Linked DNA regions of Sus scrofa. The protein of the gene in region 4 binds, or shares a complex with, the protein of the main gene of each other region. Links are inferred from orthologs where the notes say so. Each region holds a gene or a part of one and is shown on either strand. Other genes may lie near its edges.

Region 1 (4,283 bases), on a different chromosome or scaffold from region 4:
TTTAATAACACACGTAAGACTGCTGCAGTCCTCTGAAATGAAAGCAAACCCTCCTAGCCAGCAAGGATAAAAATGTATGGATTATTTAGTGTTCAACTCAACTCATACCTGGTTTACTGGCTATCTTTTAAATCCTTGATCTTTGAAGAAGACACACAGGACTAAAAAAAGATTACCAATCCTGATAATTTTTCTTACACTACAAAAATTTAGCAAAAAAAAAAAAAAAAAAAAATATATATATATATATATACACACGTAAAATAACACACACTACCTCCCCAAAAAAGAGGCTTAAAATATTTTTAAGTGGAGTTCCCGTCGTGGCGCAGTGGTTAACGAATCTGACTAGGAACCATGAGGTTGCGGGTTCGATCCCTGCCCTTGCTCAGTGGGTTAAGGATCCGGCGTTGCCGTGAGCTGTGGTGTAGGTTGCAGACGCGGCTCGGATCCCGCGTTGCTGTGGCTGTGGCGCAGGCCGGTGGCTGTGGCTCCAGTTTGACCCCTAGCCTGGGAACCTCCATATGCCACTGGAGCGGCCCAAAGAAATAGCAAAAAGACATATATATTTTTTTTTAAGTGATGTTTTCCATTACCTGACCGTATCAAGGCCGTCAGACCGCTTCATTAGGGAAATGAATGAGGCAACAAAGGTTAGGAAGTCGATTTAATCATATATTAGCTAAGAATTAACAGCATAAGGCTTAAAAAGAGCAGACTGAGGGAGCGCCTTCAGGGCATAGGCGCTGTCACCGCAGCACAGGCTTGGCCAAAAAAAAAAAAAAAAAAAAAAAAAAACAAGATTCCAGGACTAAAATGGGTTTTTAAAAAATCAATTTTGTTAAACCCATGGTTCTAAGAAGGCAGAGGCAATGAGTATGCAGTTCGTCGAGCACAGAAAGCTGGGCGGCCTGGAATCCCACTGGGCACTGGCTTTGGGGGCTGAGTGGTTGTCCTCTGGGAGCCACCCTCATCTGCAAAACCTAGATGGGGCAGTGCCCCAGGCCTTGGCTCAGGCAGGAATTAAAAGAGCGACTACATGGGAAGCACTCAGAGCAAAGCCTAGCAAACAACTAAGTGCCCAATACAAGTCAGTCACTACGACCATGACGACAGTGTCACATCTCACATGGCTCCACCTGTTAGGAATTTACTCAGACTCTTTACCAAAGAGCAAAAACCGTGAGTCTCCTCTTCAGTTCTTAGCAAGTGAGCACTCAGTTAAAGAGCTCTTTACACTCCTACTGAGAGAGAGCAACCAGGTAGGAGATGAAGAGTCTAAATCTATCCTCCAAAAACGTACAATTAACAGTAAGTCTCCCAATTGATAGGTTTCATATTCGATAAGCATTCAAGTATCATTTCCTATCTATCTCACTTGCTTCTTAGCACTTTAAGGACTTTTACGTCAATTTGTTTAAGTATATTTCCCTTGGCTAAAAAATTTAAGATACCAAAAAAGAGACAAAAAGTTAAAAATGCGGAGTTCCTGTTGTGGCTCAGTGGCAACGAACCCGACTACCATCCATGAGGATGCAGTTTCAATCCCTGGCCTTGCTTAGTGGGGCTCAAGGATCCAGCATGGCTCCAAGCTGCTGTGTGTGTCGCAGACTGGGCTCCGTGGGATCTGGCGTTGCAGTGAATGTGGGTGGCATAGGCCGAGTTCATCTCTAGCCTGGGAACTTCCATATGCTGCACATGTGGCCCTTTAAAAAAAAAAAAAAAGTTAAAAATGCAAAGTCCTCAAAAAAGTTGAAACCACAATTTCACATGTAGTGTTTGAGTTGGCTATTACAAGTCCTAGGCAAATGGATTATACACAAAGTGGACATTAGAGAGCCATCACTGCAACACATTCCCATAACATGATGGCAACCAAGAGAGAAGTGCTTGCACCCTCGATGCTGACACAGAAACCCGGGTGTTAAGATGGCCAGCTACTTGCATCTGAGTCACAGGTGGCTACCACCTTCAGATGAAATGCTCTTGGGACAGACCCCTCGAGCTGGGCAGGGCGAGCCCTGCACTGTGGAAGCCGACGGTGTGGGCCCGGGGCCAGCCGCTCGCACAGGTGGGGTCTTGAGCCCGGGCAGCGGCCAAGGCCGGGAGCCAGGCTTCGCGCAGGGCCGTCTGCAGGGCCCCCGGCCCCCCGTCCAGCTTCAGTAACAGGGCACGCTCCGCTCCCCTGTCACGAACCCGTACACTCACTTCAAAACAAGAGGTTTTCACGCTCATCTCGATTTTCTGCACAACTCTGACCTTACAAACACGTCCCCACAGTACGAGCCACGAAACTCCGAGTCTGCCTGGGGATTTCAGCGCCGCGGAGCACGGCCGCGGCCCCCAGCTGAGTCCGCCACCGGGACAGCGTGTTTGCAGTGCTTTCCGCGTCTGTTTCGCCCAAGGACTCAACTCCTCCCGAGCTACTCTCCCAAACGCACACGGCGCCCCAGGCCGCCGCCGCCGCCGCCGCCGAGGAAAGTGTTTCCGCCCGGGAGGAAAGTTTGATTCCACGGCGAGGACGACGGCCCCGGGAACCGGCGCGGAAACCGCCAAAAGGACGGGGCGCCGCGCGGGGCTGGGCCGCGGCGCCGGGACAGGCGGCCCGGACGCACCAGCCCGCCGCCCGCAGGCCCCTCCCCGCCCGCCACCCCCGGCCCGGCCCGGCCCGGCCCGCTCCTCACCTTCGGGGACTGCGCTCCGGGCGTGGCCGGGTCGCTGTCGCACGGCCGCGGGGACAGCGCCGACCCGGGGCCGCCCGCCGCCGCCATCAGCCCGAGCGCCCCGCGCCGCCGCCGCCGCCGCCGCCGCCGCCTCGTCCCGGCCGCCGCCGCCGCTGCCGCCGCCGCCGCCGCCGCCGCGCGGGCCGCCCGCCGCCCGGGCCCCGCCCCCTCCGCCCGCCCGCCGCCCGGGGGCCGGCCCCTGCCTCCGCGCGCCCCGCGGCCCGCCAGCGCCGCCGCCACCGCCATGGCCGCCGCCAGCGCGCCGCCCGCCGCCGCCGCCGCCGCCGAGCCCGCCGCCCTGCCGCCGCCGCCGCCGCCGCGCCCGCCGCGCCCGCCGCCGTGCGCGCCCGCCGGGCCCTCGGCCACCGCCGCCGCCGCCGCGCCCGCCGGCCCCGGGCCGCTCCCCTCGGCCCCGCGCGGCCCGCGCCCGTCTCCCCGCCTCCCGGCCGCCGCAGCCCGGCGCGCTCCGCGGCCCCACCTCCCGCCGCTGCCTCAGCCCCCAGCCCCGCCCCGGCCCGCCGCCCCCCGGCCCGGCCCGGCCCCTCGCACGTCAGCCCTCTCCTCCCACCGGGGCTCCCCGCCCCGCCGCGCCCCGCCCCTCGCCCTCCAGCCGAGGGTCCCCGCCCCCGCCGCCTCCCTCCCGGGGGCCCCCGCCCCCTCCGGCCAGGGGGTCCCCGCCGCCCCGCCCCCGCCCCGCCCCGCCTCCCAAGGGGCCCCGCCCCCTGCCCCTAAGCCCCGAGGGGCCCTCCTCCCGCCGCCTCCCGCGGTCCCTCCTCCCGGTGGCCCCGCCCCCTCGCCTTCCCGGGGGTCCCCACCTCCTAACCCCTCCCTCCCAGGGGTCCCCTCCCCTCCGCTCGCCCTCCATCCGGAGGGCCCCTTCTCCCGCCCTCCCAGCCGTCCCTCCCAGATGATCCCCCCCACTCCGACCCAGGGTTCCCCGCCGCCCCGCCCCCTCCTGGCGTTCCCGGGGGTCCCCACCTCTCTTGCCCCTCCCTCCCCTCCCCCCGCTCTCCAGGCCGAGGGTCCCTTCTCCCTCCGTCCCTCGAGGATGTCCCCGCCCCCTCCGTCCCAGGGGTCTCCGCCGCCCGCCCCCTCCTCCTCTTCTGGGGGTCCCCGCCCCTTGCCCCTCCCGCCCGCCCGGGGTCCCCTCCCCTCCCTTCCCTTCTCCTCGCCCGCGGGCTAGTCTTGGTGGGATGTGGAGGGACCTGGCTTGTCCTGAGTTCCCGGCTCCCGTGGCTGCCCGTTATCCGCCTTTGTTCTCTGCTCGCAGCCTTGAGGTCTCTTGGACTCCACCTGCCGTGGAAACTGTACTTTCCAAAAACATCCTCAGCTTGCTTGCATTTGCAGATTTTACCCACTTCCACCTCTGTACGTGCTGCAACCATAAAATGTGCAGGTTCACAGTACGACTGTTGGAATGTAGCTGATGCAGCAGCTCCCACCAGAGATGCGAGAGCTGCTGGCGTGCAGAGACCAAGGACAGATGACCCTCAGCGGGACTCTTGGGGACCATGCTGACCTCGGTCGGACTCTGGCTCCTCTTTTTCTAGCTGCACAGCC
Region 2 (3,500 bases), on a different chromosome or scaffold from region 4:
TGAGGAGGGCCCAGAGTTCCGGCAGCTTATTCTGCAGTGGGGTCCCGGTCAAGAGGATCCTCCTGGGGGCCACGTAGTGAGTGTTCAAGACCTGAGTCAGCTTGCAGTGGTGATTCTTCATTCGGTGGCCCTCGTCCACTATCATATATTTCCACCGAATCTATAACATAAAAGGAAAGACCAACATGGGGTGAGCAAGGAAAAACACAACTACTTCCAACAGGGAGGCGGTGGTGCAGAAAACCAAAGAACCCATGCTTGCTGCGTGATATGGCATGATACTCCTTAGGACAAGAGGATCTGAATAGTCTATTTCCCACACCTGACAGATTATGGCATACATCATGTAATAGCAGAATGGACTAGTGGAATGTGATTTCAAATCACCCTTCCACAGAAAAGGAAACTCGGACCCAGAATGAAATGGTTGGGCCAGGACTAGCTCCCATGTCTCCCCATCCAATACTCCAATTAATGCTGTATCATGACAGCTATCCCAGATTTAATGGATATGTTACCTCTGCTCAAAGTAAGTAGAGAGATTCTAGCTCTTCACCTGAAGCAGAAGTGAATGACTGATTTCTTCAAGATGGCGCCAGCAGGTACCTGGAGCCAAAAACTCTTTTCTTCTATTATCTTGGCTGACTACTACCTCCAGGGTTCAGCTCGTGTTCCTTTTTCTTTTTCTTTTTTTTTTTTTAAATTTGAACTAGTTGCTAATATTAAAAAGTTGGACTACTTCACACAAAAACTTGGACATCCACAGAGTTCCGTTGTGGTGAAGCAGAAACGAATCCGACTAGAATCATGAGGTTGTGGGTTCAATCCCTGGCCTCGCTCAGTGGGTGAAGGACCTGGTGTTGCCATGAGCTGTATAGTGTAGGTCACAGATGCAGCTCTGGTCTGGCGTTACTGTGGCTGTGGCATAGGCCGGCAGCTGTAGCACCGATTCAACCCCTAGCCTGGTCCCCTCCATCTGCCGCAGGTGCAGCCCTAAAAAGCAAAACAAAACAAAACAAAACAAAAAAAGAAAAAGAAAAATCCAAAAACATGGACATACAGCTTCTTTGAAAAGAAAAAAATGACAAGATCTGGCAACCTGGGTTCTCTTAGTTCATACATATTCTTGACCTGCCAGTTTTAGGACCCCTATTTCAAGTAGCTAAAATGAAAGGATATGGCAGACAGGGCAGTGCTAAAATATCATTCCTCTGTTTATGCCAAAACTTCAGCATGAAACACAATCTATTCCTACAGCCTGACCATCACTTCAGGGATGAACAATGACCCTATGACATGCTCTTCCTTCCTAAGTGTACACACGGTCCCCTTCCTGGCTCACACCTGACCCTTCAGCCCTCTTCAAGGTCACTGTTTCATAAAAAGAGAACAATGAGAAACATTCCACTAAGCCTATCCATTCCCTACAAAACGGTGGCAATGGCCAAGAAAAGCATCTGGTGCTCAGATGTCCCTGGATCCCGCTACAAAGCTCTTAGAGAGAGAGGCAGACAGCAAAGCATTCTATAATATCCTCGCCTTTCTCATTAGAAGCACCAGAAAAGTCAGAGAAAAGGAATAAAATCATCAGCCAGGCTGGAATGTGCAGGTCAAAGAAACTACCAGGGTTTTATTCTGGTTTTTTCTTCCTCCACTGTCTCTAAGAAAATGGTTTTAAGAAATAAAGTTAGATGAGCAATTCTCCCAAACTTGCCAATAGCATGAAAAGATGCCAGGGGATAAAAATATATTTAAATAAATATTCCAAATCTACCTTTCTGCCTGATTTAGCTTAGGAAATAATAAACAAGGAATCAGAGGCCTATGATTTTGCTATTGGGTCTTCTACTAATTAGGTCTTTCACTCAGAAAAAAAAAAATTACTGCCCTTTTCTAGATCTTCATTTCTCCAGTAGCAAATAAAAGCCATACACCTTGTTACCAGGTGCCTCTGATGAGTTTTGAAATATGTATGCGGAAGATACAATAAAGAAAATTTTTTAAGGGATCTGAAATGTACAAGCACATTCCCACAGTTACACTGAAAACATATCATTTTTGACACTGCCAAGTTCATCTCTGAGTATGAAGAATAGGAACACAGCATTGTCGCTGGTGCCATCTCAATTATTAAACCTCCCCTGGGAACCCATTTCCTTTATGTTATTTCCAAGGATGCCATGAAGGGAACTCTTCATCCCCAGAGCAAAGGTTTAATGCAGAGTTAGAAAAGACCCCAGAAATAGAGATTCTGTTCAATTTCGGCCATAACTTAGTTTCAGATTAGAGTGCTTTCAAAACACCACAGGGTAAAGAAAAAAATTACTAAATGAAAAAAAAAATTAAGCTTTCATATTTGCTCCATGACAGAAACTACTTCCACCATTCTATATGAATATATTAGGAAGGAAGATGTTATAAATGGGGGAAAATGTTTATTTTTTAGCTAAAGGACAACTTAGGACCCAGAAATGAGCAGACCTGTAGGTTGCAGGTAAAAAAAACTCTTTCCCAGCGCCAAATACAGTCACAGAAACAGCCCAGAGTAATTCAAAAGATAATAACCCACTATTTTGCTCGGAAAAACATAAAACAAGGACAGCACGAAAGCTCAGGCTTGGATAAATGTTCATATGGAGAGGACCATATGGAGAGACGCCTGCTCATCTTTGGAGAGACAAAGGCACTAGGAATGAAGTTATGCTACTGACAATAACCCAGGGCAACAAAAACAATTACTTCTTCCACAAGCACAATGTTCAGGGCTGTTAGAGAGAAAAGGGGTTGCAGAAGAAACCCAAGCGAATTTTTTTTTAAGAAATGCAAAGTCATTAACTATGAGAGGGTAGCTAAGAGTCCCAGGATCAATGATACACAACAACCACCCAAAAAACGTGCATAAAGTTAAAACCCCATGCCTCTAATATTTCTGACTCTGGGGAAAAAAGAGAGAAGGACGGAGGGAGGGAGATAAGCCATCTAACGATCAAATTACACCAGTGAGAATAATCTGGAGGAGACTTTATACTCCAGTGCAATAGTTCATGACTATAGAGAAAAGAATTTTTTTAAACTTACCTTTGCAAGAATGTGCTTGTCTTTTATAATGTATTCGTAAGTGGTCAGGAGGACATTAAACTTGCCACTCCGTAGCTGGGGGACAAGGGAGCGACGCATGGCAGGGGTGCCCTGAATGGAAAGGAAAAAAGGAAAAAAAAATTTTATATATATATATATATTACCCGATGGAAGTGCTTGTGAGTTGTCTCTCGCTATTCATGGCTTAATGGAGCCCAGTCACATGACTAAGGACTGCACATACATGCAATTATCATATATGGATCCATTATCCAAGAAGAAAGTGGCTAGCAAAATTGCACACACATCTGGACACTTTTCAGACCCTTATGGAGAGGCTTTCCCAATGCAGACCAAAGGAGGGCAGGGAGAGAAAAGGAAATTACGGCGACCTCAAGGTAGCAGGGAACCTGCTGCTCTGC
Region 3 (3,500 bases), on a different chromosome or scaffold from region 4:
CAGAGCTACGGCTGCTGGCCTACGCTGCAGCCATAGCAACGCCAGATCTGAACCACACCTGTGACCTACACCACAGCTCACGGCACACCAGATCCTTAACCCACTGAGCAAGGCCAGGGATCGAACCTGTAGCCTTGCGGTTCCTAGTTGGATTTGTCTTCTGCTGTGCCACAATGGGAACTCCGAGAAACTACTTTTTGCTGGATGTCTTTTGTACCATTTGAATTTTTACCACTGAGGGTTTTGTTGTCTTTTGTTTTTTAAAATCTTTTTAGGGCCACACCCATGGCATATGGAGGTTCCAGGCTAGGGGTCTAATTGGAGCTACAGCTGCCAGCCTACACTGCAGCCGCAGCAAAGCCAGATCTGAGCCACATCTGCGACCTACACCACAGCTCATGACAATGCCAGATCCTTAAACCACTGAGCGAGGCCAGGGATCGAACCTGCATCCTCATGGATGCTATTCAGATTTGCTCCATTGACCATGATGGGAACTCTGCCATTGAGGTTGTTTTTTAAATCAACTTTATTGAGGTTTATATGCAGTATATCACACCCATTTGAAATATGGGTGAATAATTTTGGTCAAATGTGTGCATTCTGTAGCGACCACCACAAGGAAAGGGCAGAGCATTTATGTCGCACCCAAATGGTCTCTTGTGCCCTTTTGTAGTTAACCCCTTGCCCTTTAGTCTTGGACAGTCTTTTTGTTTGTTTTTCTTTTTTGCTTTTTAGGGCCACACCCATGGCATATGGATGTTTCCAGGCTAGGGGTCTATAATGGAGCTGCAACTGCCGACCTACGCCACAGCCACACCAGATCCGAGCCAGGTCTGTGACCTGCACCACAGCTCATGGCAACGCCAGATCCTTAACCCACTGAGCAAGGCCAGGGATCAAACCCACAACCTTATGGTTCCTAGTCAGATTCATTTCCGCTGTGCCATGACGGGAACTCCTGGTTTGGACCTTTTTTTTGACTCTGTGTGATTAGGTCTTAGGGGACAAGCCCTTTACCAAGCCCTTGTTTTCCTCCCCAGTGTTGACCCGAATGATCAGAAAAAGACAGCTTGTTATGACATTGATGTGGAAGTGGACGATACCCTGAAGACCCAGATGAATTCTTTCCTACTGTCCACCGCCAGCCAGCAGGAGATTGCTACTCTAGACAACAAGGTAGGGCCCGGGCCCTGGATGATGGGGCCACCAGCCCTCTAGCTTAGCTGCTTGGCTGCTTTTCTTTTGTTGTTTTCAGTGGACATGTGGAAGTTTCTGGGCCAGGGATTGAATCCAAGCTGTAGCTGCAATCTTCGCTGTAGCTGCAGCAAAAACAGATCCTTTCACCCACGGCGCCAGGCTGGGGATTGAACCCCCTCCTCTGCAGTGACCCAGGCCGCTGCTGTCAGATTCTGCGCCACAGTGAGAACTCCTGCTTTTGAGTCTTGATATTCACTCAGAATGTATTCATACCTAGTGTATGTGAGGCACTTTGGTGCTGGTTGGAACCAGACACCCAAGTTGTGCTTCATAGCTTAATAGCTTTGGGCCTCATTTTCTGATTTGTGAACAGAGACCGTAATACCTGTTTCTCTAAGGTCGTTACAAGCATTAAAGGAGACAGTACATGTAAAGACATGACATTGTATCTGGCGCATAAGATCAAATGGTGGGGTTCTTATGTGGCTCAGTAGGTTAAGGGTCCAGCCTTGTCACTGCTATGGCTTGCCTGGCTGCTGTGGCACGGGTTCAGTCACCTGGCCCCGGGAACTTCCATATGCCAGGGGTGCGACCAAAAAAAAAAAAAAAAAAGGCAACTTTTGTTCCTATTGTTATTATCATTAACTTTAGACATAGTCTGTGCAAGTAAAACCAAAAAGGCTCTGGGAACACAAAGGAGAGCAGGCAGACTTTCCTGGAAGAGCTGACATCCCAACTACATTTTTTTTTTTTTTTTTTTTTGGTCTTTTTGGGCATGCATATGGAAGTTTTCAGGCTAAGGGTCGAATCAGAGCTGTAGCTGTCAGCCTGCGCCACAGCCACAGCCATGCCAGATCCGAGCCACATCTGTGACCTACACCACAGCTCACGGCAACGCTGGGTCCTTAACCCACTGAGCGAGGCCAGGGATCAAACCTGCATCTTCATAGATACTAGTCAGGTTCGTTAGTGCTGAGCCAGGACAGGAACCCCCCAACTAAATCTTGAAGGACAACGTGGGAGTTAATGACAGGTGAGAAAGGATGATGGCGCTTAGGGGCAGAGAGGTCAGAGAACATTCCAGAAAGAGAGGACAGGGTATATGAAGGCCCCGAGAGGTGCAGAGAGCCTGGCATGTTCAAGAAGTACTGTGTTAATCTCAGCTCAGGGCCCTGGAGAAGGAAACTGGATCGGGAAGCTGGGGTCTAGTCATGAGGCAGCTTTGATGCAGGGAGAACTGGTGTATACTTTGTCCTGAAAACTGAGGGCCTGGTGCGCATGCGTTTAGAATGATCACCGGCAGCACATGGGGAGTGAACTCTCAGGGGGCAGATCTGGCGCCAGGAAGTTAGGTGGTGGGGCAGTTAGGCGTGTGAGGTGTGCTGAGGGCCTAAACTTAGGGTTCTGACAGTGAGGATGGAGGGGAGTAGGCAGCCCGGGGAGGTGTGAAATGGCACTGAAAGGATTCGGACCCTGGATGGAGACGGCGGGGTGAGGTGTGGGGAGAAGAGGCTTTGTGCCGACCCCCAGCTCTCCAGCTAGCCACGTAGTCCTAGCACCCGGTTGGAAACAGGCTTGGGGGAGAGATGGTGCATTTCGTTTGGAGAGTTTAAGGTGCCTTGAGTGGTCAAGCAGTTGGATTGGTGGGCGTCTAGAAAACGGGCTCTGGTTTGCAGACCGGGGACTCTTCACCCTGTCAGAGGTCCTGGAAGATAGCTAAGGAGATGATGTCACCAGGAGGAGTGCAGAGAACCAGAAGAGGGCAGAGGACAAAACCCACAGACCAGAGCTTTCGAGACAGCCTTCGGCACCACCTCTTTTCTGCCTGAGAGTGTTTCGGGACCCCTTTGTGCTGTGGATTAAGTGTTTACCGTGTGGCGTCCCCCACTCTGGACATTGTGGAGACTAGAATGGGGCCCACAGGGACACAGGGCATGTCACCTGTGGAACGAACATGAACCGGAGCCAGGGCTGGGGGCTCTGGGCAGCAGTGCCTTTTCTGGGCCACACTCTGTTCCTGGGTTGCGAGCGGCACAAGGAGAAGTCAGACGCTGTCTGCCGTTTGGCCCTGTGTTCCCCCAGCGTGGAGATGTCAGGAGCTTCTTCCTTCCTTTCAGATCCATGAGACAATAGAAACTATCAATCAGCTGAAGACCCAGCGGGAGTTCATGCTGAGCTTCGCCAGAGACCCTCAGGGTTTCATCAACGACTGGCTTCAGTCCCAGTGCCGGGACCTCAAGGTAGAGGACCCGGGACAGGTGCAAAGGGACTTGAGGCCTGTGAGGCTCACAGTTGCTTTT
Region 4 (3,500 bases):
GAGAAGGGTGACAGACAGCTCTAGCCTCATAACAATCTTTTTCATAGAGATTCTGGGACATTTGTGTGTTTCTGTGAGGGTTAAACGCTTTCCTGCTTACCCTGCATCTCTGTCCACAGCGGGATCAGGGTCAATGCAGGGGCCACAGACACCTCAGTCAACCAGCAGTTCCATGGCAGAAGGAGGAGACCTGAAGCCACCAACTCCAGCATCCACACCACACAGCCAGATCCCCCCATTGCCAGGCATGAGGTGAGGCCAGGAGCAGGGGCAGGTGCTTTGGGGAATCCTGGGCCCGAAGTGCATGAGCTCCTGTGCAGCTCAGGGGGTCCCTGGTCTCCCGACCAGTGAACCCATGTGCCTCGCGTTATTGGAGTAATAGCTTCGTTTGGGGTCTAATGAGCTTTCCTCACTCTTGAGCAGGAGCAATTCAGTCGGGATCCAGGATGCCTTTCCTGATGGAAGTGACCCCACATTCCAGAAGCGGAATTCCATGACTCCAAACCCTGGGTACCAGCCCAGTATGAATACCTCTGACATGATGGGGCGCATGTCCTACGAGCCAAATAAGGATCCTTATGGCAGCATGAGGAAAGGTGACCAACTGCAGTTGGCCTTGTGTCCTTCAGGACAGGGCCAGGGGATGGGGGGATATCTTGAGAGTGGTTCAAGGTTCCTATTGAACCATCCTCTGAGATGAGGCACTTCTGGACCTAACCCCCTCCTTCATCCTCCTTTTTTATTTCCTGCTCTTCACCGTGTCACCCCTTTACATGCCTCTTTAGATCTCTGTTTCAATCCTGTCAGAAAAATAGTTGGAACAAACCTGAGCTCTGAGAGGTCCTTGGCCTTTGGGGCAAGCAAAGTATAGGTTGTTAGGCCTGCTGAACAACCACTTTGCTCACTGTCTTCCCTTTTGCTCTCAGCTCCAGGGAGTGATCCCTTCATGTCCTCAGGGCAGGGCCCCAACGGCGGGATGGGGGACCCCTACAGTCGAGCTGCCGGCCCTGGGCTGGGAAATGTGGCGATGGGACCTCGGCAGCACTATCCCTATGGAGGTCCTTATGACAGAGTGAGGTAAGCATGGCCCCCACTCCAGTCCCACCCCAGACCCCACGGCTAGCACGGACTCAACCTGCTTCTCTGCTTTTTCTTTAGGACGGAGCCTGGAATAGGACCCGAGGGAAACATGGGCACTGGAGCCCCACAGCCGAATCTCATGCCTTCCACCCCAGACTCGGGGATGTATTCTCCTAGCCGTTACCCCCCACAGCAGCAGCAACAGCAGCAGCAGCAACGGTGAGTGAAGCTTGGTCTTGGTGCTGCTGTGGCTAAGGCTTTTCGCCATCCCACCCTGATCCTCTGTTTCTCTCCTTCCTGCAGACATGATTCCTATGGCAATCAGTTCTCCACTCAAGGCACCCCTTCCGGCAGCCCCTTCCCCAGCCAGCAGACCACAATGTATCAGCAGCAGCAGCAGGTGAGAAAGGTAGTGGGTGGGATGACACTGGTTCCTCTGAGAGCCAGTTAGAAAACCTTGGTCAAAAACTTGAGATGGTTTGGTGTTCTTCTTCCCAAATAGCCATTTTTGTCTAAAGAGCCAAGCCCTCAATCTTCTCCCTGTTTGGAGTCTAATCCAGTCTCTAGTTCTCTGCAAGTGTTAGAAACAGGCCTTATTTTGATTTTTAAACTTTGCTACGTTTTTCTACGTAGAGCAAGGGAGAGACAGAGGGAACAAAGAATGGTTCTTACTTTCAGAAACAATTTCAAAAGATAACGTGTAAAGGTGATTCTTTTGTTCCCATGGAATCTGTGTCCCCTCCTCTCTCAGAGGGGCAGAAGTAAGCCCAGTACGTGTCTGATGTAGCCATCTTGTCAGCTGTAGGTCTCCTATCCCCGGGTTCAGAGTATTAATTTCCCCTCTGCTTGTCCCTATCTTAGAATTACAAGCGGCCAATGGATGGCACATACGGCCCTCCTGCCAAGCGGCATGAAGGGGAGATGTACAGCGTGCCATACAGCACGGGTCAGGGGCAGCCCCAGCAGCAGCAGTTGCCCCCAGCCCAGCCCCAGCCTGCCAGCCAGCAACAAGCTGCTCAGCCTTCCCCTCAGCAAGATGTGTACAACCAGTATGGCAACGCCTATCCTGCCACTGCCACTGCTGCTACTGAGCGCCGACCAGCAGGCGGCCCCCAGAACCAGTTTCCATTCCAGTTTGGCCGAGACCGTGTCTCAGCACCCCCTGGCTCCAATGCCCAGCAAAACATGCCACCGCAGATGATGGGCGGCCCCATACAGGCATCGGCTGAGGTTGCTCAACAAGGCACCATGTGGCAGGGGCGTAATGACATGACCTATAATTACGCCAACAGGCAGAGCACGGGCTCTGCCCCCCAAGGCCCTGCCTATCATGGCGTGAACCGAACAGATGAAATGCTGCACACGGATCAGAGGGCCAACCATGAAGGCCCATGGCCTTCCCATGGCACACGCCAGCCCCCATATGGTCCTTCTGCCCCGGTGCCCCCCATGACGAGGCCCCCGCCATCTAATTACCAGCCCCCACCAAGCATGCAGAATCACATTCCTCAGGTATCCAGCCCCGCTCCCCTGCCCCGGCCAATGGAGAACCGAACCTCTCCTAGCAAGTCTCCCTTCCTGCACTCTGGGATGAAGATGCAGAAGGCAGGTCCTCCAGTACCTGCCTCGCACATAGCACCTGCCCCTGTGCAGCCCCCTATGATTCGGCGGGATATCACCTTCCCACCTGGCTCTGTTGAAGCCACACAGCCTGTGTTGAAGCAGAGGAGGCGGCTTACAATGAAAGACATCGGTAAGGAGACCTCCTTGATTGGGTTGCTGAATCTGCCCCTTTGCATCTTGTTCATTGTTCTCTCTCCATCCCGATGTTCTGGATGAGTTAAAAGCAGGTCCAGTGTTGACTAAAAGAGAGTCCAAGAACTTTGGGTAAGGAAGAAATCATCTGATATCAGGCTTTACTAAAGGAATCGCCACACAGTGATGTCCTAAGAGAGCTTAGAAGCCCTGAGGGGCAGATGTGTGTCATCTCCCAGATGGGAACTGCCTCTCACCATGTGTTCTCTTCAGAGTAGCCTGACTGATGAGCCAGCTCTGGGGTGGGAGGGCCCCTGCCAACCTGGGCTTGGTGGATGGACGACGTGGAGGTTTATTTCAGGAACCCCGGAGGCATGGCGGGTGATGATGTCCCTCAAGTCTGGGCTGCTGGCAGAGAGCACATGGGCATTAGACACCATTAACATCCTGCTGTACGATGACAACAGCATCATGACTTTCAACCTCAGTCAGGTGAGTACAGGTGCCTGGGGAAGATTGGGAAGGCCTAGGATCTTCTTGACAAAGACAGTGCTAAGCGACCAGGGAATTAAGCCATCCCTGGTCAACATGATCTCCTCCCACTTGTTCTCTGATACCTTTCGAGCCAGTACTTTGCCAGCAGCCATGGGCCCCCAGTACTGAGA
Region 5 (4,001 bases), about 37 Mb from region 4:
GACACACCCTGATGCTCAGATACACCTGGACCCATGGAGGAAAATATCCAGACCCTTGGGTCCACCCAGAGACACTCAGAAAGGGACCATTAGACCATCAGATATGCCCAGACCCACAAGAGGAAGACACAGCCAGACCCTAGCAAACACCTGAACATTCTTAGGGGAAACAGAGACACACCTAGAGAGAGTCACCAGGGTGGATACACACACATAGGACATAGAGACAGTCCCTCTGGGGCAGTCAGACACCGCCAGATAGACACTCCAATACACCTGGCCCCACACAGAACCCTGGATCTACTTGGACAAGGAAAGAGAAACAGCCAGTGATCTAATAGTAGGGGACACAGTCAAGAAGTGCTAAGGCCAGAGACTCAGGAGGCAGGCAGCCCATGTACACCTAGTGGATCAGATACTTGGGGAAGAGCTTCTCCCAGACCTTCCAAAGCATCTGGCACTGAAAGGAAGAGACAGTTGGACACCCTGATACACTGACTCTCAGGAACAGTTGGACCCTCAAACCAGACACACGCAAGAGGAAATAAACCTTCTAATACACTTAGAAACACCTGAAAAGAGACACAAATACTGAGATACACTCTACTACAAATGGACAGTTACGACCAAACACTCTCACACATCCAGACACATTCAGACATCCACAGAAAGAAATACAGCCCACAAGGAAGAGATACAAAGACTGGATACACCTGCACACACATGACAGATACCACTCTGTCCTAGAATAGGCTGGGGCCCAGTCAGGAGAAAGTACAGTCCAAAGTTCAGTCACTCAGGGAGAACCGGGGAAGCTCTGGACTACAGCCAGACACACACTGGCAGACACACAGCCAGCCACTCAGACACTTTGGGAGGGGAATAGAGGTGAACGCTCAGACAACATCAGCATCAGCACACACTTAGCAAGCGTGCTGTGGGCACTGATGGGAGCCACCCCGAGCACAGGACGAAGCTCCACCCACCGATCTTGTACTCGCAGGGCCGGAGTCTGGGGTCCTCCAGGATGTTGAGTCTCCGTTTCTTTCTCCAACAGCGGGCGGGGTACGTATAGATCTGCCCCGGGGCCAAACCTGGCGTGAGAAAGGCGGTAAGAACAAGGCCGCGCAGCCACCGCCCCGCCCCGCCCCGCCCCGCCCCCGCCCTCCCGGTGGGTACCCGGCCCGCGGTGGGTCTTCTCCATCCAGATGTAGCAGTTGTTCTGGGCCACGCCGGTCTGCGAGTCGAGGAAGGGCAGGCGCAGGCTGCGCTCGGCGCACAGACGCGCGTTGTAGCTGCGGCAGTGCTCGATGGCCTCCCGGTAGAAGTCCTCGCCTAGGCTGCGAGGGGCGGGTGAGCGGGCGGGCAGCTGTCAGCAAGGGCAGCCCACCAGGTCGCCCAGCACCCCTCCCCCACCCGCTCGTAGGGAATGGGTGGGCGGACTCCTCCAACCTCCCCTCTCCCCTCCTGTGGCTCCTGGACCCAGGAGCCCCCCAGCTGGGATTCAAGCAGGTCCCCAGCCAAGGAGTGGATACAAACACACACAATATAGAAACAGACAAAAATACACTGGGACCCATCCATACAGGCACATGTCCAAATACACAACACAAACGAATCACATAGAGTCACACGGGATTCACACACAAAGAAACACACATCCCAAGACTCACAAAGGAGAAACAGACACATCTCACATATGTGCACACACAAACATCTACTGAAAAACACAAATATCTCAAGTAGAGACAGATCACACACATACCCGTGCTCAAATATACATCACATATCTAAAGACACACAGCATGCAAACAGATCACACACCACACACACACTCACTCATGCATTCAAAGACACACTTAGATACACAAATGTTAAAAGAGAAAAAAACAGGAAAACAAACTACCCACATATGCATGTACACACATAGCCAAAGACACAAAACACACACACTATCCAGATACGCTATACAAAGAAATCACACATATTCACACAGGATACACACACATATTCACAAAGGCACACAGTACAGAAACCAACATCTCAAATATCACCTATTGGAGCACACAAAGATACATACATACACAGCATAGAAACAGACAAATCAACCCATCTTCACACAAAAACTTGCTCATAAATACATGCACACCTACATATCCAAAGACACAGAGCACAAATGATGCACAGTTTCAAAGAACAGGCACACACACTCAAAGACCCAAATATCTAAAGATACCTAGTGTGGAATAAAAGAAACTAAACACATATCCACACACATATCCAAAAAACCCAGAACCCAAACAAGTGACACATACTCTACATTCCAAGACAAAGGTAGTGTGGGCTTCACTCAAGTTTACCAAGGCCCTAGCGCCTCCAGACAGTTTCTCCCTCTCCCCAATCCCGGGGGTCGCAGGGCGGGACATGACCCCCTTTCCCCGAAAAGAACCCCAAGAAGACTCTGAGTTCCCCACACACTCCGCTTTTCCAGGAGGAGCGCGTCGGACCAGGTTCTTGCCAGAGACCCGTAGTCACATACTCGCAACCCGGCGCAGCCCGGCCCACGGTGACAGCCCCCAAGACACCCCATCGGCCCCACCCCCAGCTGCCACACACACGCACACACACACACACGCCCGCCCAAACCCGCCCGCGCGCCCTCCCCCCCGCCTCCCGCCGGCCCGCAGCACCTCAGGGGGCCGGGGATGACCGTGGCCATCTTGCTCCCCGGGTCCTGCCCCCAGCAGGTCCCCGCCGGGCCGGTCCTCCCAGCGCTCGGGCGGGCGCTGAGGCCGCCCATCCATTCATTCCCGGGGGGCGGGAGCACCGGGGCCACAGCCAATGAGGGCGGCGGGGCGGGCCCGCCCGGGCCATGCCGGGAGTGGTAGTTCCCGGCCTGGGGCTGGCGGGACCCCGCAGAGAAGCGGGGTCAGAGGTGGGGCCAGGGCACGCACAGCCATCCCCGCACGCTCACTCATGCACACCTCCGAGTCTCACACATGCGCGTACACTCACACCTGCACACCTGGTCTCGCGCACACCCACACGCGGCAGCTTACACACACATTCACACCTATACTCCCTGCCTCCCACGCAGGCTCACGCACACTCCCTCTCCCACACCTTCACACAGACTCACATACATTTACACTCACACAAACACTCCAATGTCAAGAGACTTAAAGACACCTTACACAGGTACACACGCGACACGTGGCTCACCGACACCGCCCCCACATACACATTCCACGGACACGTGGTTCACTGACACCGCCCCCCCCCAAGTCCCTCCTAACTCCACAGAACCCTCTCAGGTCCCCAGCTTTCTTTCTGGCAGGGATCCCGCCCCACACAACCCCTTCCTTGCCTCCAACAACAGCTAGCTAGTTAAGAGTTGTAACCACACTTCCTGGGTTCAAATCGTGGCTCTGCCACTTCGTGGCCATGTGACCTTGGACAAATGATAACCTTTCTGGGCCTCAGTTTCCTACTCTGTGAAGTGAGGGTGATGCCCCATGGGGGTTATTGTGAGGATTAAATGAGCAAGTATAGGCAAAGTGTTTTAAAAGTTAGCTGTCAGGTAGTCAATGTTCAATAAATTCATTCCTTCCACAAAGAGGACCTGATAGGCACTAAGATGTGAAATGGTGATAGCTAGCCATTATCAGAAAGAATAATGCTGGGCATGTAACAGATGCTCACTGAGATTTGTTGAGGAGTTCCCATTGTGGCTCAGTGTTAAAGAACCTGACTAGAATCCATAAAGCCTCCGGTTCTATCCCTGCCCTCCATCAGCAGGACCCAGCGTTGCCAAGAGCCAAGGTGTAGATCGCAGACATGGCTTGGATCCCGCGTTGCTGTGGCTGTGCAGTAGGCCAGCAGCTGCAGCTCTGATTCGACCCCCTACCCTGGGAACTTCCATATGCCTTAGGTGCAGTCTTAAAAAAAAAAAAAGATCTGTTGACTATAAACATACTGAGTAGCCACCATGTGCCAGGCAC
Region 6 (3,500 bases), on a different chromosome or scaffold from region 4:
TGGCAGGCCAGGAAGAGGAGGAAGCCCTGGAGGGGCTGGAGGTGATGGATGTTTTCCTCCGGTTCTCAGGGCTCCACCTTTTCCGGGCCGTGGAGCCAGGGCTGGTGCAGAAGTTCTCCCTGCGTGACTGCAGCCCTCGGCTCAGCGAGGAACTCTACCACCGCTGCCGCCTCAGCAACCTGGAGGGGCTGGGGGGGCGCGCCCAGCTCGCCATGGCTCTGTTTGAGCAGGAGCAGGCCAACAGCACCTAGTCCACCCCGGGGCCCCGCCACCGCCAGCCACCTAGTTCCCTTTCCGGCCTCAGCCCCAGGAAGGCCAGGCGAGATGGACGGACAGATGGAGAGCTTGTTGCTGTATTTTTTTTAATAAGAAAATGTTATTAAAAGTGTCTTCTGCCAAACCGTTTTTAGGTCTAGGGCAAATGGAGTGAGGCGGCTCTGCGGGAGGGGTGAGGAACTGCCCAGAGGGACCCACGGCCTGCCCCTTCCTCCTCCCTCCCCAGTTGCCAGTGACCACACGAGTGCCATCAGATGAATGACCTTTAATCCGGTCCCCACCTCGGCCGCAAGGCATCAGGAGTGACGGCAGTGCCCGAGGTGACAGGGCAGGGGCCCAGGGGCCCACAGCAGCGCTCGTGCCCAGGGCTCCTAGGTGTTGCGCACAACCAGCGACTGCTCCAGCTCCTGCCTGCGCTGCTGGATCTTTAGAGAGGGGAGCAGGAGCCGGGTTACCGTGTTCCCGGTGAGTGACAGGACCACCCCCCCCACCCCCGGCCCTGGAGGCGCAGGGGGAGCAGGGAGCCTCCCCTGCGTGGTGACGGGGAGGGTGGAGTGGCTGTAGAGGCTGAGCAGGGAGTGGGGGAGGGTGCGGCTGGAGGTGTCCTGGGCCCTCCTCACCTTGCAGTAGAAGTAGCGGCTGACAGCTTCCTGGGACCAGGGCTGGTGGTAGAACTCAGCCCGCCGCTCCTCCTCAGGGTTGCCTGCCACGTCTGTCATCACCTGGGAGGGAGCAGCGGGTCAGCCCTGAGCCCGGATCCCCTCCAGCCCCTGGGCACAACGTTTACTGTCTTCCCAATGTGCTTGTCTTCCATCCAGTGCTCCCTGAGTCCCCTTCACCTTGAGGTCCCGGCTCTGGGAGCGGAGGAGGTCTTGGATGTAGCCTTTGGGGTCTCTGGAGAAGCTTAGCATGAAGTCCCTCTGGATCTTGAGCTGGTTTATGGATTCAATCGTCTCGTGGATCTACAGGTAGAAAGACAGATGCTTTCACCTGGCCTTGCTGATGTGGGCGAGGATGGGAGGGGGAAGGGAGGCGGGGGGAGGGGTTTGCTGCTGTTCCTTTGAAGGGCTGTCCCTCAGGTCCCCTGGGGCTGGACTGGGCCTCTGCAGTCCCAGGGAAGGGGGGATGGGCGGAGCTCCAAGTAGCAAGGCAAGGCCCACCTCCCCTTCTTCTCTCCATAGGCCCGTGTTCTCGTCTGTTTTGTCTGTGCTTGTGTCATTTTGGGGTTGATGTCCCACTCCAGCTCTGGGCTCTGGCCCCACCTTACTGTCCAGAGCGCTGATCTCCTGCTGGTTGGCTGTGGACAGGAGGAAGCTGCTCATCTGTCCCTTCAGTGGCTCCTCTACCTCCACGTCAATGTCGTAGCACGCTGTCTTCTTCTGGTCCGACGGGTCCACGCTGCCAGGGAAGTCCAGCCCTTGGTGTCCTTGCTGCCCCACAGAGGCCAAGGGGAGGGAAGGGGCCCCGAGTGGGAGGCAGCGGGAGGGACTGAGAGGCCAGCCCCCCCCCCCGCCCCCACAATGACTCCCTGTTCTGAGAGCGAACTGGGGCCTCACCTGATGACGTGGTTGATGACAATGGGGTCAGGGGGCAACAGCAGAGCTGTGAGGCGCTGGGGGATCTCAGAAAACTTCAGCCGGGGACAATCAAAAATCTGAAGTAGGAGAGAGAGATCACTCGTGCCGCATGTTTGGAAGAGCACACATTCCCTTCTGAAAAGGCCTGGGGAAGCCAGAGCCCACGGGGCTGGGCAGGGGCTGCCAGTGGGGCGGGTCCATGCAGCGCATGGTTGACAGCGCCAAGGCCTGGGCTGCTGGCCTGGGTAGAAATCCTGCTTCCACCACTTCCTGTGCAGCTGAGCAACTTACCCAACACCTCGGGCCTCAGTTGCTTCATCTCTAGAAAGGGGATGATAATAGCGCCCATCTCACGGGGTGGCTGTGAGGTTAGAGTCAGCACACATAACGGGCTCGGACCAGTGCCTGGCACATGGTAAGTGCTCAATAAACACTGACTTTATTTTTACCACTCAGGTTTATCTGCTGTTTTTCTTTAAAAATTATTGTTGGGGTTCCCATCAAGGCACCGCGGGAACAAATCTGACTAGGAACCATGAGGTTGCAGGTTCGATCCCCGGCCTTGCTCAGTGGGTTAAGGATCTGGCATTGCCGTGAGCTGTGGTGCAGGTTGCAGATGCGGCTCGGATCCTGCGTTGCTGTGGCTGTGGTGTAGGCCGGCGGCTATAGCTCTGATTTGACCCCTAGCCTGGGAACCTCCATATGCTGTGGGTGCCCTAAAAAGTAAAAATATAAAAATAAATAAATAAAATTTAAAATAAATAAATAAAAATTATTGTTAATGATCATCTCCACTTTGGTAGAATTTTGTCAGGTCACTTCCACAGCAGTTTGTCAGCACCCTCCTTACTGTAAGAGAAGGAATAAGGCTCAAAATAGCAAAGTCATTTATCCAGAGTCCGGAGCCAAGACTGGAACCTGGGGATCCTCACTCCAAGTACCAAGGATATGCTCCCCAAAGCTGCTGGATTCGCAGGGCTCCGATTCCCCAGCCTGGGTGGGCTAAGACGGCTGTGGCACGGAGCGGGGCGAGGAAGAGCCTGGACTCTGGCTCTGGCAGCCGGACCAGGACTGTTTACCGTTTCTGATGCAGTCAGGAGGGGAGAGGTGCTGTTACCTTAGTGGAGGCACTTCCCCTCCCGGAAACTGCCTGCTCCCCGTGGCCCTGGGTTCGAGAGAGAGGGTACCTGCTGGAAATACTTGTCCCCGTTGATGTACTCCTTGTCGTGAGAGTCCTGCAGCCTGTTGGTCTTCACGTACTGCCACAGGGCCTGGACAATGGCTGAGCGGCTCTGCGTGTGCAGCCCCAGCAGCCGGGCCAGGCGGGGATCCAGTTTGAACTGGGGGGGCTGGGGAAAGGTGACCATGCAAGTTAGACAAAGGCGGGCGTGGAGGGAGCGCAGGGCCAGGCAGCTTGGGACGTAGGGGGGGGATGTGGTGGTCGGGCTCCGTGGAAACATGCTTTCGGAGCGGGGGTGGGAGGTGTGAGGAGCCTGGGGCCCCCCTGTCTGGTCACCCTGTCCCGGGAGGGGGCTGGGGTGTCTGGGGGCACGGACCTGGTAGTCCAGCATGAGGAGCAGCGTGCAGCGCACGCTCAGGTCCCCCGGCCTCTTCACCTGGAACCCGTCCGTCTCCTGAGTTGTGGGC
Region 7 (4,138 bases), on a different chromosome or scaffold from region 4:
TTAAGGGAAAGGAGAGAGAGACTCAGAAGGCACGCAGAGAAAATGCTAATGTCGTTCAGCCCCGTTTCATTGTCAGGAGGGACACGTGAGGATAAAAACATAGCTCTCCAAACCTTTCTCCCTGCTCCCCTCCTCCCAGCACCGCCATCTATCCCTTCGGCCTGAAGTGTCTCTGCGCTTTGTTCTAATTTATCCCATGCATAATTTATTCATGTGTGTATTGTTTCCTGATAAGCAACTTTTAAAAACAAATGAAATATACAAGATGATCTATTAAACAAAGTGTTTTTAAAAATAAAGGCCGATGATGTAGATCTCCCGGTAACAACGTGCGTGCCCCTGCGCTAGAACTTTAAAAGCCGTCCAAGGCACAGAAGGCTGGGCTGGTAGGGGTATTGTTTATACCTCCTTATCCCCAGGGAAAGGGGTCAAGATGCAAAAAGGAGCAGCTAATTATAAATGACCACTCAACTCCCACCTAGAAAAAGCAGGCTGGATGTCAAGGGTATGCTAAGATGTAGGTGTGTGTGACGACACAAAATTACAAATACATGGCATTGCAACTGTTTCTAATTATACAAAGTACAAGTGTAATAATTCAGAACTAATTCCAATAACCAGCCTGCTTCTCTCTCCCTTCCCCCACTTCTAACCCCACCCTATACAGATACCCTCCCCAAACATGTAGTCTTCTGCTGTCCAAAAACAAAAAACAAAAAACCGGAGCCGGTAGTAAAGAGCTAAAGAGCGTAGAGATATTGCCCCCGCCAGCGTATAAACGGGCCCAGGGGTAACTAGGGTACTGCTTTCCCAAAAGGAAACAAACCTGGCACACATGTGAAATAGATCCTCTAACTTGAGTTTACCAGGTGGCATCAGCTCGGCTACGCGATTTGGGCTGGAAATGTGAAAACTGCAAATCAGCTGTGGGTTCGGTAAAAACTCACAGCATCAGCGGTGTAGCAGCGCGAGGGACCGGGAGAGAGGATGCGGTGAAGTTACGCCCATTTATTCTGCCATAAAACATTTTCTATCTTGGGTGAAACGCTGTAGCGTTCAAGTGTAGTGTATCAGAGCTTCCAAGCGAGAACTGAAGCCGAGAGCTGCTCTCTAATCAGCCTCAGCTCCCAATGTCCTCTTAGGGTTAATACATATTTATACATTTAAAACTCCAAGATCTGGGACATTCCTAACCTTTTCTCCTACTACCGATAGGAGATAAGCTGGTGCAAACACGTCCCATTCTCCCCGCGAGTTCCTTCGTGTTAAGAACTCCCCTGCCGCCCCCCTCCCCCAGTGCGAACGTGGCTTTCAACTCCAAGAGGAGCCTCGGGTGCGAACGTGGATGCGCTGAGTTGAAAGAACCTAGGTGGGCATCCTCCAGGCACTGGCGAGAGAATTCGCCATGAAATGCCCTCCCCCGCACCTCCCCCTCCCCTTGCCCGCGGCTTCCAGCCTAGCTGCGAAGTCATAATCCCAGGGGTGCAAGCCCCCACCCACGTCGCGCTGCGATCCGGAGGGAGTGCCCCTCTGCCAACATTACTGCCAAGAGCACCCCTTTTAGAGCGACGCTAGTTTTCCGAAGCCACCCCCGGCTCCGCGATCGCTAGCGGACTTGGCGGCTTAACAGTTCCACGGATTGGAAGGAAGGAAGGAAGCCAGGATAAAAAGGAGGGGGAAGGAAGGCGGGCAGGAATTGGCTGTCGGACCTGGGGACTGGCCCCCGCGTGTCCTCGCCCAGCCCGCCCCCCCTCCGTCCCGGATCTGGGCGTCCGTTCAAAGTCTCCCGGCTGTGGCCAGAGGCACCTGCCCCTAGCTCTGGCCGAGAGCAGACGCTACCCGCTCGGGCGGGGAGCCCCAGGCTGCCTCTCGCCAGCCTCGACTATTCACCCAGAGGAGGCAAGAACACCATTCATAAGACCTGCAGCTTCCCAGTCTCCAAATCAACCCCAAGTTAACCCGAGTCGTTAATTTATTACAGGCAGTTCCCCACAAACAACACCCGGAGACACACCGGCGACCGCCCGAAGCGCAGTCAAGCTCTGGGGGCTGCCCCGTCAGGAAAGCCCCGGGCAACCACCTGGGCCCCAGGGCTCCCGGGACCCGGTGCTCCCCCTGCGGTCCTCCCAACTCCGGAAGGTTTGCACAAACTCCCCGCAAGCGATCAGAAGGCGGAGAGCGCCCTGAAAACTCCGGAGCTGCAGCGGTCCGCTCACCCCCGCCGACCTAGCATCGGGGCGGGGGCTGCGGGCTCCAGAAGCACCGGGCTCAGCCAAGTGCACCCAGGCGGCCCCAGCCTGGCTCTCGCCCCCAGCTGAGCCGCCCCCCGCGCCGCGCTCACCGCCCGGAGAAGCTGGGCACTCTGGGGACCGTGCTGTCCCTGAGCTGCCCAGGATCCCCTCGCTGTAGAGCACTCGAGCGCCTGGCTCCCCTGCCAGTAACCCCTCTCCCTCAGTCCGCCAATTTAGAAGAACACAAATGTACCAATTTTCCTCTTCTTAATTGCCTCTCCTGACATTTCTGCGCGCCCGGGTTAAAAAAAAAAAAAAAATGAAGAAGTAAGAGCTGAAAGAAAAGAGAGAAGCCCCACCGCGGCTGTAGGCGCCTGCAAGCGCAGTGCATTGGCAGCGCTCGGCACGCAGAAGGCGCCTTTTTTTTCATATTGAAACCACGAGGAAAATGTACATTTTTTAGTCTTACTTACGCTTTCAGGGGGTTGTGAATGACAGTCGCCATTTTGCTACAATGTAACAGAATATTGTCTGTCTCAGAGTTCTAAAGGTTCGCTCAGGGGAAGCGGCGAGCCAATCAGAGCACGGGATACCGGCCCGCTGGCCAATCGGCGCGGCTGGTCGCCAGGTGGGCGGGGCCTGCACGGTGGTAGTTATTAGGGGAGCTGTCAAAGCCCAGAGGTCACTCCCTTTTGTAGAGCCCGAGAGCAAGCAGGTCTTAAAGGGGCAGTACCGCGCGTAGAGCTCCTTTTCGGATGAGGGAAAGTGGAGACGCACGAGAGTATTCTAGTTTGGTTTGAATCCTTACTTTCTAAACAACTGCAGAGAGTTGCGCTCCTGGACAGAAATATTTAAGTCCTGGACAGAAAATATTTAAGTATTGCAAGCAAACCGTTGAACCCTATTCATTAGCTTTTGGCTTTACTGTTACGTTTTTAATCCCCCAAAGGACAATTCCCCTCGTTCCAGTGCAAAAATTGGAAGGGTGCCGTTTCGTCTAATTACTACACGTGTCCTGCCGCTTACTAATGCTCTGGGTCCTGCGGCTTTTTAATATTCTCATTCCTGAAGTGTTGTCTTTATCTCGGCCACCTTCCTCTGATTTCTTGGAACTGGTGCCGCCGTTCCTGGCGACTCCAGGACAGCAACTCCCCTCCCCCTGGAATGTCTCAATGTCAGGCTCGTTCCCTCCAGCAGCCAGGCTTTCCTTACTTAATACGCGGTGGTCACTCAGGCAATTGCCCACTGCCACCTCCTCTGTCCTCGCACAAACCAGAAACTTCGGAAATTAAATGGTCAGAGAGCTGGAGAGCCAACTGGGGCCTGGCGCTCTGACCTTTAGGCTTAGGGGAGGGGTGGTTTAAGAGAACTTTTGCAAACGCTTTCTGCTCTTCGGAAAGAGTAACGAGACAAAGTTGTGGAACCTAGATGGGTGTTGCCAGAGTCCCTTTCGGGGAGTAGCATACGCGATTCCGGCGTCACCTTTCATTGATTAGATAAAAAGGTGAAAAGAATTTGCTAATGAATAATCAGATGTGACCTGAGGCGTTCAGAGAATGTGTCTGCTTCAAGTCCGTGCGAACTCCTCACTGGCGAAGCCCTGACAAAACTGAGAGACTTCTGTGAAGCCAGGCTTCCACTGAGGAGCCAGGCAGCTCAGGGTGGATGAAATCGCACTAAATCATGAATAGGGGCCTCGTTAGCATACAGAAATCTGGCTACTATCCAAAGTTGTTTAATGAGGTCAAATAGCTAAGATAGTGGGGGAGGGGTGAAAAGGGGGGAGAGGAGATGCCAAATTGCCAGTTCTTCAAAGCTGTGCCCTCTCACTTCCTTGCTCAGCACTCCATCCAAGCAATGAATAAAATAACAAGTTTTTAAGTTCCAGAACTTTCAGAGTGCAACTG

What was found.
Region 1: ARID1A (region 4) and PHF10 share a complex: the UniProt entries of both Homo sapiens proteins name them as parts of the neural progenitors-specific chromatin remodeling complex. The link is inferred for Sus scrofa from reciprocal best matches to the Homo sapiens genes ARID1A and PHF10.
Region 2: ARID1A (region 4) and SMARCA2 share a complex: the UniProt entries of both Homo sapiens proteins name them as parts of the neuron-specific chromatin remodeling complex. The link is inferred for Sus scrofa from reciprocal best matches to the Homo sapiens genes ARID1A and SMARCA2.
Region 3: ARID1A (region 4) and SMARCD1 share a complex: the UniProt entries of both Homo sapiens proteins name them as parts of the neuron-specific chromatin remodeling complex. The link is inferred for Sus scrofa from reciprocal best matches to the Homo sapiens genes ARID1A and SMARCD1.
Region 5: ARID1A (region 4) and DPF1 share a complex: the UniProt entries of both Homo sapiens proteins name them as parts of the neuron-specific chromatin remodeling complex. The link is inferred for Sus scrofa from reciprocal best matches to the Homo sapiens genes ARID1A and DPF1.
Region 6: ARID1A (region 4) and SMARCD3 share a complex: the UniProt entries of both Homo sapiens proteins name them as parts of the neuron-specific chromatin remodeling complex. The link is inferred for Sus scrofa from reciprocal best matches to the Homo sapiens genes ARID1A and SMARCD3.
Region 7: ARID1A (region 4) and DPF3 share a complex: the UniProt entries of both Homo sapiens proteins name them as parts of the neuron-specific chromatin remodeling complex. The link is inferred for Sus scrofa from reciprocal best matches to the Homo sapiens genes ARID1A and DPF3.

What each region holds. Positions count from the first base shown.
Region 1 is NC_010443.5:555,415-559,697, reverse strand, and holds the start of PHF10 (PHD finger protein 10), read right to left. Parts: upstream 2,801-4,283; 5' UTR 2,772-2,800; coding exon 2,685-2,771; intron 2,634-2,684; exon of another isoform or gene 2,260-2,633; intron 1-2,259. UniProt on the Homo sapiens protein: Involved in transcription activity regulation by chromatin remodeling. Belongs to the neural progenitors-specific chromatin remodeling complex (npBAF complex) and is required for the proliferation of neural progenitors.
Region 2 is NC_010443.5:219,742,422-219,745,921, forward strand, and holds part of SMARCA2 (probable global transcription activator SNF2L2), read right to left. Parts: intron 3,190-3,500; coding exon 3,079-3,189; intron 161-3,078; coding exon 1-160. UniProt on the Homo sapiens protein: ATPase involved in transcriptional activation and repression of select genes by chromatin remodeling (alteration of DNA-nucleosome topology).
Region 3 is NC_010447.5:15,999,278-16,002,777, forward strand, and holds part of SMARCD1 (SWI/SNF-related matrix-associated actin-dependent regulator of chromatin subfamily D member 1), read left to right. Parts: intron 1-1,043; coding exon 1,044-1,179; intron 1,180-3,317; coding exon 3,318-3,440; intron 3,441-3,500. UniProt on the Homo sapiens protein: Involved in transcriptional activation and repression of select genes by chromatin remodeling (alteration of DNA-nucleosome topology).
Region 4 is NC_010448.4:84,115,729-84,119,228, forward strand, and holds part of ARID1A (AT-rich interactive domain-containing protein 1A), read left to right. Parts: intron 1-119; coding exon 120-252; intron 253-420; coding exon 421-596; intron 597-926; coding exon 927-1,077; intron 1,078-1,158; coding exon 1,159-1,299; intron 1,300-1,383; coding exon 1,384-1,480; intron 1,481-1,941; coding exon 1,942-2,833; intron 2,834-3,196; coding exon 3,197-3,327; intron 3,328-3,500. UniProt on the Homo sapiens protein: Involved in transcriptional activation and repression of select genes by chromatin remodeling (alteration of DNA-nucleosome topology).
Region 5 is NC_010448.4:47,147,881-47,151,881, forward strand, and holds the start of DPF1 (zinc finger protein neuro-d4), read right to left. Parts: upstream 2,801-4,001; coding exon 2,691-2,800; intron 2,588-2,690; exon of another isoform or gene 2,316-2,587; intron 1,341-2,315; coding exon 1,180-1,340; intron 1,095-1,179; coding exon 987-1,094; intron 1-986. UniProt on the Homo sapiens protein: May have an important role in developing neurons by participating in regulation of cell survival, possibly as a neurospecific transcription factor. Belongs to the neuron-specific chromatin remodeling complex (nBAF complex).
Region 6 is NC_010460.4:5,985,966-5,989,465, reverse strand, and holds the end of SMARCD3 (SWI/SNF-related matrix-associated actin-dependent regulator of chromatin subfamily D member 3), read right to left. Parts: coding exon 3,410-3,500; intron 3,203-3,409; coding exon 3,041-3,202; intron 1,931-3,040; coding exon 1,833-1,930; intron 1,675-1,832; coding exon 1,437-1,674; intron 1,239-1,436; coding exon 1,116-1,238; intron 999-1,115; coding exon 897-998; intron 702-896; coding exon 648-701; 3' UTR 346-647; downstream 1-345. UniProt on the Homo sapiens protein: Involved in transcriptional activation and repression of select genes by chromatin remodeling (alteration of DNA-nucleosome topology).
Region 7 is NC_010449.5:96,251,555-96,255,692, forward strand, and holds the start of DPF3 (zinc finger protein DPF3), read right to left. Parts: upstream 2,801-4,138; 5' UTR 2,737-2,800; coding exon 2,705-2,736; intron 2,552-2,704; exon of another isoform or gene 1,982-2,551; intron 1,370-1,981; exon of another isoform or gene 1,284-1,369; intron 1-1,283. UniProt on the Homo sapiens protein: Belongs to the neuron-specific chromatin remodeling complex (nBAF complex).